3 linked regions of the Elephas maximus indicus genome follow. The protein of the gene in region 3 interacts with the protein of the main gene of each other region in a pairwise test. Links are inferred from orthologs where the notes say so. Each region holds a gene or a part of one and is shown on either strand. Other genes may lie near its edges. The genes, in order: NGB, PLEKHF1 and L3MBTL3.

Region 1 (3,744 bases), on a different chromosome or scaffold from region 3:
CAGCAGGTCTGGCTCCAGGTCAAACAGCCTGTGGGGAAGGTCCAGGTGTCAGCCCCCAAAAGCCCCCCGCGAGCCCTGGTTGTCCAGCAATGGGAGTGGGGGCTGAGCCAGGGCTTTGGCTGTAAACTCTGGTGCACCCTCCAACCTGACATGGGCCCTTTGCCAGCTTTGCTGCTGCCTCCTCCCCAACACTTAGGCCAGCTCTGAGGGGCGACCTGGGAAGAACAATGCATCTCCAGGTCTCTCAGTATCTGGCATATGATCGTTGGGCGCCATCAAGTTGATTCCTATTCATAGCAACCCAATGTGACAGGGTAGAACTACCCTATAGGGTTTTTAATAGCTGTAATTTTTACAGGAAGGAGCCCTGGTGGCACAGTGGTTAAAGTGCTTAGCTGCTAACCAAAAGGTCAGTGGTTCGAACCCACCAGCCACTCCTCAGGAGAAAGATGTGGCAGTCTGCTTCCATAAATATTTACAGCCTTGGAAACCACATGGGACAGTTCTACTCTGTCCTACAGAGTCATTATGATCCAATTTGATGGCAATGGGTTTGGTTTTGGTTACCTTTACAGAAGCAGATTGCCAGGTCTTTTTCCTGCAGAGCCACTAGGTGGCTTTGAGCCACCAACCTTTCTGTTAGCAGCCGAGTGCTTAACCATTGTGCTACCAGGGCTCCTTCTGGCATACAGTAGCCCCTTCATAAATAGTTATGGGGTGTGGGCTGGGACAGGAAGGAGGTCCTCATAATAGGAAATCTAGAGTTACATTATGGGGAGAGGAAAGTCCTTCTTTCTCCCTCTCTGTTTCAGCCTCCTACTCTTGGGTCAGAGCTTCCCAGGCTCCTCCTGTTTCCAGTAGGTGATGATAACAATAGTATCAAGAACAAAATCCACATAATGACTGAGCACTGAGTACTTCACCTGTGGTAAGCTCATGTCTTCCTCACCATCCCAAGCAGTGGGCACAACTGCTATTCTGATTTTACAGGAGGTTTTAAGTAATGTGCCCTAGGTCACACCATTTGGGGGTGGTGGAGCTCCAGGGAGTGCATGTTTGGAGACGGCAAAGAGATGGAAGCGGAAGATCTCAGTCACGTTTGGGAGGCATGTGGTGGTTTTGTGGAACTCTGTGTTTATCTCCCTCTGTCTTGGGGGAGTTTTTGTTTTTTTTTTTTTTTTTACAAAAGCCTCAGGGGAAGTTTTGGGCTGCCTCAGGGAGCCCCAGCTCCTGAAAATCCAAGGTGAGGAAGGGAGCGTTGCTCTGTTAGCAGGGGCAGATTAACCAGTAGGCAAGGTAAGCATGGTGCTTACCTTGCTTACTTCATCATCTGTAGTGGACAATTTCACATATTTTCACCACATTAAAGATGCTGCTTCTAAGTATGGCTGGCATCTGTCTTTCCCCCTGTCCCACAGCACCTTCCTACAGAATCAAAGCCTCTTTTCCAAGGGACAGTCCCTGACCGGCAGATGATGAAGTAAGCAAGGTAAGCATGGGCTTATTTGTGCTTACTTACTAAGATTAATGATCTAGCAAACCAGGTAAACAACCGTGCTTACCTTGCCTATTGGATAATCCGCGCCCTTCCCGTTGGTGATGGTATAGGAGTTGGGGAGAGGTCCCCAAGCTGGGGTTGCAAACTGACCTTCCCTAGCCTGGTGGGGTCTGCACACCGCCTAAGGGCCTCCTCGGTGGTGAGACTTGGGCGGCTCTCACCCCTTCCTCGGAGGATCTCTGGTCCTAGCCTGGTCCCTTCCCCAGTAGGGTTATCCTTCCATCTTTTGCTGGGAGTACGCACGCCTAGGGCCCGGACTCTGTGCACCGCTAACCACCCATGGGTGCGCCCGGCACACCCTCCCCGCACGGACCCTTGGGGCTCCCCAGTCCCCTGTACCCGGCGGCCGTGGGCGTCCTGCAGTCGCCACCCAAGGAACGTGCGGGAGGCACAAAGCCGAGCAGGGGCCACAGCTGGCCAGGTGTGAGGAGATTCGCTAGCGAGGCCCCCGCCCACCTCCATGAGCCCAAGCGGTTGCTGCAGGTGCAGCGCTGCCCGCAGGACGCACCCACGTCCGAGGAAGCTCACAAGGGGCTGCGCCACCGTCGCCGCGCTCCGCCGTCTCTGGCGCACATTTGGCGGGCGCCCGGCGCCAAGGCGGTGGCTGGTTCCCCTCCTACGGCCAAGCCAGCACTCTCGAGCCCATCCCGCGAGGCTGGGACCCCGGCGCTCCGGCCGCCTCACCTGGCGAACAGGACGGTACCGTGCTCCAGCGGGCTGCGGCTCACCACGCGCCAGCTCTGCCGGATCAGCTCGTGCTCGGGGCGCTGCATGCTCGCCGGGGACGCGGGGCACACGGCTGGGATTCTCGGGGCGCGGGGGCCGTCACTGCACGTGCAGCGCCATCTCTGTGGAGACTCAGGCCACTCCGCACCCCTTACAGTCCCCGCGCCTCCGCCGAGTCAGCGGCCGCTCCTTCCTTGGTCGGAGTGGAACGAAGACGCGCAGCAGCTCGCGGTGTGTGGAGGCGCCCCAGCCGCGCCCACCCCGCTGGTGCTGCCGGGGACCCCTCTCCCGCCGCTGAGCCCTGCGCCCCGCAGCTCAGCCAGCGGCCCCGCCCCGCGCCGCCCCGGCGGGGCGCTTTAAAGAGACCGCGTTCCCCGCCCCCGTCCGTCCATCAAGGCTCTTTCTCTCTCCGCAACCGGCTCCGGCCGAGAACGACCTGGTGGCGTGGGACATGCCCGAGCTTCAGTGCTTAACTGAAATCTTCCAGCCTCCCTGGGCCTCAGTTTCGCATCTGGAAACTGGTGATAATATTACTACTTAGTGTCTGGAAGACAGCTCTGGTGGCGCAGTGGTTAAGCGCTGGGCTGCTAACCAAAGGGTAGGCGGTTCAACACACCAGCTGCTCCGCAGGAGAAAGATGTGGCAGTCTACCGTAAAGATTTACAACCTTGGAAATCCTGTGGGGCAGTTCTACTCTGTCCTAAATAGTCACTTTGAGTCGGAATCCGCTCCAAGGCAACGGGTTTTCGTTTTAGGATATGGAACCCTGATGGCGCTGTGTTGAATTTGACCGCCTCTCCACAAGCCCCACCCAAACATTGCCCAGAGGCATTTGAGTTTGCTGTCAATCTCTTTCTCCTTTCTTCTGCCCTGAAGTTGTCCAGAGTGCGCTGGGGAGCATACCTTTATGACCAGGCTGAGAATGCGGTGCCCCCTGCCCTGGCTCAGGGTCTGACTGGGGCACCGGCATAGGTTGGAGGCCACCAGGGCTCTCAGCCTTGGGGACAGGGCCAAAACTGCAGACATTTCCAGGCAGGCCTGGCTTTTCTTGAGACTCCATCACTGGAAATCTGTGGGCTCCAGTTCTAATCCCAGCTCTGCTTAGCCAGGGTGGGACTTTGGGGGCAGTAGGCGTGAGCCTGTTTCCTCACCTGGAAATTGAGGGAGTTAGGATCTGGCAATCTACTGTTCCATAATTTTTAATCGACTTTAGTTTTTTTTTAGAAAGTACTGTTTCAGGTAACAGTCTTACGCTTGCCATCCAAGCAAACAGTTGGTTACGTATCAGACCTAAACTTTTCTGTTTCAAGCATGAAAGTTTCTCAGGCCCCAGCCCAGTTCTAGTGGCCCAGGTTTTGGAGAGCTGGCCCATTCATTATTGGCCATTTCAAGTCTCTGAGCCTATCTCCTCCTAGTCTGTCCACTTCTCTCTCTGGGCCTGTTTCCTCAGCTGTGCAGTA
Region 2 (3,744 bases), on a different chromosome or scaffold from region 3:
TTATATTTGCTGTTTTTGTTGTTGCAAAAAAGGTATTTCCAATGAAAATTCTGTTATGCAATCTCCAGTGTCATTTCTATTGCTAAGGCCATATTTTCCAACTACTGGTTCTTCTTTGTTTCCATCTTTTGCATTCCAATCACCAGTAATTATCAATGTATCTTGATTGTATGTTTGATCAATTTCAGACTTCAATTTCTTCATCTTTGGCATTAGTGGTTGGTGCGTAAATAGTCATATTACCTGGTCTTCCTTGTAGGTGTATGAATAGTATCCTATCACTGACAACGTTGTACTTCAGGACAGATCTTGAAGTGTTCTTTTTGACGATGAATGTGATGACATTCCTCTTCAACTTGTCTTTCCTGGCATAGTAGACCATATGATTGTATGATTCAAAATGGCCAATACCAGTCCATTTCAGCTCACTAATGCCCAGGATATCCATCTTCAAGGGCTCCATTACATTTTTGATAATATGTAATTTTCCTAGATTTATACTTTGTACACTCCACATTCCAATTATTAATAGATATTTGCCCTGCTTCTTCTCATTTTGAGTCATGCCACATCAGCAAATGAAGGTCCGGAAAGTTTGACTCCGCCATGTCTTTCAGGTTGACTCTAGTTGGAGAAGGTGGCTCTTCCTCCTCTTATTTTGAGTGCCTTCTAGCCTGAGTGGCTGGTGTTCTGGTATTATATCAGGCAAGGTTCTGCTGCTATTTATACGGTTTTTACTGCCCAGTTTTTTTGGTAGGTCGCCAGGCCCTTCTTCTGAGTCTGTCTTAGTCTGGAAGCTCTGCTGAAACCTGCCCACCATGAGTGACTCTGCTGGTATTTGAAATACTGGTGGCATAGCTTCCAGGATCACAGTAACACACAAGCCCCCACAGTATACTTATCGTTATTACTACCACCGCTCTTGCTGCGAGGGGAAAAGACTATGAGGGGTCAGCAGGCAGGAGGGGGGCTGCTAGAAGACATCAGAAGGCATAACAATCCAACAGCCTCACCCTGCCCCCAGCGCCCCCCACCTTGCAGTAGGCAGTAGCAGGGTTCGCGGACTCAGTCTTCTTCGGCCACAGCAAGTATGAGGAGTGCGACCGGCAGAAACGGGAAACTGGGGGTGGGGGAACAAACCGGACGAACTGGGGAACCAGCCCCAAGGGAGCAAGAAGGAGCTGTCGCTAGGGCCCCGCCGCTCACAAGGGACCACCTGAAACTTGGGGCCGCTCCACCCCCACGCATTTCGCAAGGCTTGGCTCAGAGTTCTGGGTTCGGGCTCCGCCCCGCCAGCGCTGCGGGGCGCCGATTGGCGGAGCCTCCCCCGAGGGTGCCAGGAGGAGTTGGAACTCGGAGGCGTGGGCGGCTCGCGGCTTGGCTGCAGCGGCCAGAGGAACGCGGACGCGGGCGGAGCTGCCGGGCAGCCGCGGGCTGGCGAGAGGCGCGCGGGCGAGGGGTGTCTGGCGGAGAAGGTAAGGGCCCCGCGGCCGGGCTGGGGCGCGTGGAGCAGACGGGCTCCCCTCCCTAAGTCCCAGAGCCCGGGGCCGCTCGGTCGAGGTGGCCACGGGGCTCGGGCGGGCCGGGGCGCGCAGCCAGGGCGGGCTCCGACTCCAGACCCTTGGAGAGGCGCGGAGAAGGGCGCTCTTCGCTGGCTGGCGGGGCAGGCAGGGTGAGGGCTGCGGGGTCCAGGGAGAGCAGGTGGGGCTCCGTGGCCGAGGCGGGGCCCCTGGGCGGAGGGTCGGGAGGAGTCCCTGGGCGCTGCGCCCTGGGGCTGCAGGGATCTCAGCTCACCGGTTGTTGGGTGATGTTTCGGGGAGTCATGGCCTCACACCTCTGTCTGAACCTCAGTGATTGGTCCCAGTCTGCGGGGTCTGAAGTCGTGGGCTGGGACCACTGCCCGCCTGTGGGGAGAAAATGGGGGTCGGCAGCGCTTTCTGGGTGGCTCCGCCCTCTTTGGCCCATTTCTTTTGGGGACCGCTTGGCCCCGAAGCGCATTCGAGTTAATGACCCGTGGTGGGAACCGTCAGGGGAAACGGCCAAGCTCAATTTCCCATGTCGCAGAGGAAATAACTGAGGCCGACCCAGAGAGAGATGGTAGTTGCTTCCCAACCCTCCAGCCTGGTTTATTCGCATCCCGGACAATGGGCGAATTTCCTGGAACCCCCTTCCCTTTCTCTCTTCGAATACCCGCAGAGAGGTGTCGGTAGCAGCCCTTGCAGGTGGGAAAACTCCCAGCTACTGCAGAACTTGGTCTTCATAGCCCAAAGGAAATATTTGTTTGGAATTTTGAACAAAACTATTATCTCATCACCAGAGAATCAGAGGCCAGAGAGTCCCAGATACTCTCCCAGGCAAGCCCTGGAACAGCACCGATTCCCTGGGACAAGTGACCAGAGCTGGCTGGTGTGATCTCTCACAGTCTTGGCCTCCTGGAGAGACCAACAGCCCTCCTCAGCCCCCAGTTCCAAGCCGGAGGGGCTTAGAGAGGGTTTATGGCGGAGTCCTGCAGGCTGAGAGGTGACCCTTCTCTGGCTTTGGCCCCACATCCCTGCACACGTCAGCCCTCAGTGGTGCCAAGGCTGGCAGGCGAGGCCGCCCAGATGAGCTGAGGGTCCTGCACACCCCAGCCCACCACAGGGAATGAAGCGTAGCTTGGCCAGTGTGGCCTGGGGCAGGTCAGCCCAGTCAAACTAATAGACTTGCCCAGGCCATCTCAAGGGGCCTGTGGCCTGGAGAGGGGCCCGACCCACTGGGTTTGAGGATTCCTGACTTTGTTTTTGGTCAAGAGCAGCCTTCAGTAGCTTACGGTTAGTTTGGAGCCTGGCTTCTGGCTCACTCAGCCAGGTCCTTGGGCAGTGACTTTGAAACTGGTGATGGTATTTTCCTCAAGGGGCTTTTCTGAGAATTAAATCAGATAATACTTGTAATGTGCTCAAGTCTTGTGCCTGGAGGGCCAAGAGCTCTAGCGGGAAGTGGCACCCCTGTGGGTTATTTTTCTTGTTACTGTTACATTCAGCCCCATGGCCCAGCCCTGCCCATCGGGGGAAGCTGAAGGGTGGGGCTGGCCCCTGGATTCCGCTTTTCTCTGTGACCTTGGGCCAGGTATTACGTCCCTCTCTGATGACCAGTGTCCCTACATGTAACTCAAGGGGAAGGTGGATCAGAGCACCCCTCTCAGCTCCATCTTTCTAAGGCTCCTACGTTGAGGCACCCAGCATCTCTCTGCAGATCCCAAAGGCCGTGTTCCGAGTTCAGGAGAGGAGAGGACATGTTCCACCAGGACAAAGCCCCGTGTGGGTCACTGGGTATGTCCCTGGAACAGACACCATTGTACATTTTATATAACGCGTGGTATACCAGGGGTCAGCAAACATCTTCTGTAAAGGGCCAAGTAAGAGCTGAATATTTTCAGCTTTGTAGGCTATACAGTCTCTGTTGTATAAGGCTGTGTTCCAATAAAGTTCTATTTAGAAAAACAGGCGGTGAGCCAGATTTGGCCCTGGAGCCATAGTTTGCTAACCCCTGGTGTAGGTCAGGTATCATACATTGGCTGTCATGCATGGAATCCTGGTCACATGGCATTTGCAGCCACCTAAAAACATTCAGAGCCTGGGCCCCCAAGCCACAGCTCTCATGGTACATACCCTGAGCTTCAGTTCAGGTGGTGGGATCATATATGTTCAGAAGGGTGAGCCCAGGAACCTGCCACCCCTTCTGAATCCTGAGAGAAAGATGCAGGTG
Region 3 (3,744 bases):
GACCGAGCCGTCAAAAGGAGGCCTGCAGTCAATAAGTGAGTGGAAAGCTGTCAATACCAAAATACGATACTCCCTTGATCTAGTTTTGATTTGTTAACAAAGACAGGTTTTGACGTTTACAATGGCTCAGCCATCTTGACTGAATACATTAGAAGGATACTCCACCTGCTTACTGCCAAGGTGGTTTAACACGGATTTCTGGGTTGATCTGGGAATCTCAGCATGTCTCCTAACGAAGGCCCAACATGTTTAAACTGTCAGTAAAGATCCACACAGAAGAAGAGGAAAAAACACGCAAGTTTTAAATCCATACTTCTTCACGCATTCTTCGAGTCCTAAAAGAGGGGGAGTTTTCTGCTGCGTTAAAGCTTAAAACTTTATTTCTTTATATTTTATGACCTGTAGCACAGGTTTAGCCTATAGGTAGGGTTTGTGTAAAGACTATAGGCCCACTCTTTAATGGCTGAATGCATACATTCCCCAGCACATGGTGGATTAGCTGCTCTACGAATGGCCTTAAAAAAAAGTAAAGTGGAAAATAGACAAAGAAATCTATAACCTTTACAGTCTTTCATGTTTGTTTTGCCTGTTCTTGAACCGGCTTTGAGTCGGTGACGAGGATATTGAAAAGATGCACCTGAAACGGTATCTGCCGGCAGCTGCATTTGCCAAGCGGCTCTATTGCTGCTTTCCAGCGGCGAAGGCGCAGCAGCAGTAACAGGGAAGCCAGCGCGAGCTTCCCCGGCGGCGGCGGCGGCGGCGGTGGCGGCGGCGGCACCGGCACCAGCGCAGTTTCCCCTCTCCCCAGCCCTGACTCTACGCGCACATGCGCACTGCGCCCGCAGCCCTGGACCATTTGTCAGGACTACTCGTGAGACGGAGAAAAAAAAAAGAAAAATTTTGGGGTAAGAAGCGGTTGATCTGATCTAATATCTAATTAATCTGAAGCTGTGTACATGCAAAAGCCATTCATTTATTTTTCTGGGTGAGGATGAAAGTTAAGAGCCCTACAGAGGGAAGGAAGCGCACCCTCCTCTTGTGAAACAGATCGGGGAGGGGAAAGGACAGAAGGGGTTTCTCCCCCACTTCTCTCCGCCTCTGGGAAAGAGGCGAAAACTTAATCCCGGGGAAAAAAGTGGGCAAGTGACTCTGAAATGGCTGGAGGGGGAGTCTCTGGGCATCTCACTCTGAAGTAGTGAGTGTGAGTGTGAAAGAGGAACAAAAGAGAGAGAAAAGAGAAAGGAAAAAATGGGGGGAGGAGAGACTTGTATTTTTTTCTTTGCGCGCACACGGAGAAGGGTGTGGGGGGCTGTGCGGAAGGGAGCCGGGCGAGGCGGCCGCGTCGGGCTCTCGCCCGCGCGCAGGCGGCTGGATGCGTGTGAGCCCCCTCCCCTGCGCCCCCCGAGAGCTTGTCACTTTGGTCTCTTTCATGACACCGGGAGCGGGGTGGGGGAGCGCGGCGGCGCTGGGCTCCGGGTGCGTGCCCGTGTAGGCGCCGCGGAGCCGCAGCCTGGGCGGCGAGCGCGGCCACCGAGGCTGGGGGCGCCGGCGGGGGGCGCGGGGGCGGCCGGGGCCGCGGATCGGTGCAGCGGGAGGCGCGAGCCCCGCGCGCCGCCCCTGCGGCCCCCTCCGCCCGTGTGGCCTTTGTGCCGGCGCGCACCGGAGAGCGAGCGAGCGAGCGCGAGAAGTACAAGTACGGGAGACCGAGGCAGTGGGAAAAGAGGCCGGGGCACTTTCTCGCCACTCGGGCTGCGGAGAATGGACTGGTTGAATGTGCAGGCGCGTCTTCCCGGCGTGTGCTGTGTGTGTGCGCGGCGGAAAGGCCTCTCCGACTCCCACCGCGCACACGCACACTCACACGCACGCACACACACACGGACCCACGGCAGGCTCCGCGGCCGAGAGTTTGCGTTTTCTTCTTCGCCTCCTCCCCTTTCCCGACCGAGTGTGTGAGAATTTAATATAGATCAGCTCCAATTTCCGCCATTTTGGGAAAGTTGCACAAAAATAAACCCTCCGGTTTATTTCTGCCAGAGGCAGGAAAGTGCTTGGGGAAGCGAGGCGGCGGCGCGGGCCCGCGGCTGCCGTCCGCGCTGGGGAGGGCTCGGGCACGGGCCGGGCCGGCTCTCGTGCCGTCGCGGCCACCCCGCGCCGTGCGGCGCCGGCCCGGGTGCGGGCGTGTGTCGGGAGGTGGCGGCCGCGGTAGCGGCGGAGGCAGCGGCCGCGCCAGGGCGTCGGGCTGGGGCGGTGGGGGGGGGACGCGGGGTGCCTTTTCCTGCAACTTGTTTACGCCTTTCTTATATTGGGGAGCCAAAGGGGTTCGAACAGGGGCCGCTGCCAGCCTCACGCCGCGTGCGTGTGCAATTCCGGAATAATGGGCTTTGCACACTAGTGTCCTGGGCCCGGCGGGCCATCCTCGCGCCGCGGCGGCCGGGCGGGTGGGGGGGGAAGTAGAGGCCGGCGGGGGTGGGGATCGGGAAGCGCAGGAGCCGGGGCATCCGCTGCGCGCCCCGGAGCTTGAGGTGGGGGGGAGGGAGGAAAACTTGTGAGCCCTTGGAGGGGTGGGGGCACGGTGACATGGGCGGGGGGAGGGCGCAACTTTTGTGCTAGTGGTAAAACTTTAATTACCTTGAAAGAAAAAAAAAAAGGCCCAATGATTTTTTTTCTCCCCCTTTTCTGGTCAAAGCTCGGCCCACAGCGTGACCGTGAGAGAAAGTTTAAAAGCGGGTGGTTTCCTCCCTGCTTTCCCTTCAGAGGGGTAGAGGTGTCTGTCTGTCCGTCTGCGCTCAGAACGAGGTAGGGGTAACGAGCCGCCCACCGGGGTCGCGAGGACGGTGGCACTTACCCCACCCTGTCACGGGGAGACGAAGGTAAACGTCGCTTCGGTTTCCCTTCTCCTCCCCCCAACCACCCTGCTTCCTTTTCCTCCCCCTCCCCGCCGATTTTTTTGAGGGGACCCGAAAAAACGGAGTCTCTTTCCTTATGCAACTTCCTTGGGCGCAGTGAGCACAGCCCTTCCCCCTCCCTGCATCCCTTGGCCCGCTTCTATACCACCTCGGCCCTAAACCCCAGAAACATGCATTAGAAATCTTTCAAAGTGTACAGAAACAAAAATAGATTTTTAATTGTTTTAAGTTTAGGAAAATGAGATGAGAAATAGGAATTTTTTCGGGGGGGGGATGGCTGGGGCGAGTGCGTCGAATTTTAATTTTGATTTTCCTTGAGCATTGTTCGTGATGTCTTTATTGGTCTTGGAAGCTCGAGAGACTCTGTCCTGCCTATCTTGGTCGCGTGGATTTTTGCGCAAGTTTTTTGAAAAACACTGACTCGAGGAGAGAGCATTTCTCCGTAAAGTTTCAAGTGCAGCAAAATAGCGAACGTGCAAAACTGGCCAAGGGGAGACCTCTAGTGGTTAAACGCATCTTTAAGTTCGGAAGGCCGAGAGCAAAGTTTGGCCTGTACTTGTAGCTACGTAGTCCATTCAGACGTGGAAGTAATTAGACGACCTGAGTGAGCAGCCAGATGTTGTGTGAAAGGATGCTGGTCAGGAATAGAAAGTTTAGTAAATCGGAGAGCAGTGAATCCTGAGGACTCAGACTATGTAACTTCCATCCATCATTAGTTACATGGAAAACCACTTCGCTTTTATTCTGGGATTTGAGGTTGGTCACCCCTTGTATTAGGAACAGTTGTTTTTATATTTGTGGTTGTCTGTACAACAGCAGACTGGTGTACCTTTGATCA

What was found.
Region 1: the proteins of L3MBTL3 (region 3) and NGB interact in binary tests that used the Homo sapiens proteins (3 or more experiments, as listed by UniProt). The two-hybrid records come from large-scale screens. The link is inferred for Elephas maximus indicus from reciprocal best matches to the Homo sapiens genes L3MBTL3 and NGB.
Region 2: the proteins of L3MBTL3 (region 3) and PLEKHF1 interact in binary tests that used the Homo sapiens proteins (3 or more experiments, as listed by UniProt). The two-hybrid records come from large-scale screens. The link is inferred for Elephas maximus indicus from reciprocal best matches to the Homo sapiens genes L3MBTL3 and PLEKHF1.

What each region holds. Positions count from the first base shown.
Region 1 is NC_064828.1:90,064,621-90,068,364, forward strand, and holds the start of NGB (neuroglobin), read right to left. Parts: upstream 2,332-3,744; coding exon 2,243-2,331; intron 29-2,242; coding exon 1-28. UniProt on the Homo sapiens protein: Monomeric globin with a bis-histidyl six-coordinate heme-iron atom through which it can bind dioxygen, carbon monoxide and nitric oxide.
Region 2 is NC_064839.1:11,415,405-11,419,148, forward strand, and holds the start of PLEKHF1 (pleckstrin homology domain-containing family F member 1), read left to right. Parts: upstream 1-1,346; 5' UTR 1,347-1,475; intron 1,476-3,744. UniProt on the Homo sapiens protein: May induce apoptosis through the lysosomal-mitochondrial pathway. Translocates to the lysosome initiating the permeabilization of lysosomal membrane (LMP) and resulting in the release of CTSD and CTSL to the cytoplasm.
Region 3 is NC_064819.1:198,635,102-198,638,845, forward strand, and holds the start of L3MBTL3 (lethal(3)malignant brain tumor-like protein 3), read left to right. Parts: upstream 1-785; 5' UTR 786-905; intron 906-989; exon of another isoform or gene 990-1,378; intron 1,379-1,627; exon of another isoform or gene 1,628-1,693; intron 1,694-1,859; exon of another isoform or gene 1,860-1,949; intron 1,950-2,686; exon of another isoform or gene 2,687-2,870; intron 2,871-3,210; exon of another isoform or gene 3,211-3,662; intron 3,663-3,744. UniProt on the Homo sapiens protein: Is a negative regulator of Notch target genes expression, required for RBPJ-mediated transcriptional repression. It recruits KDM1A to Notch-responsive elements and promotes KDM1A-mediated H3K4me demethylation.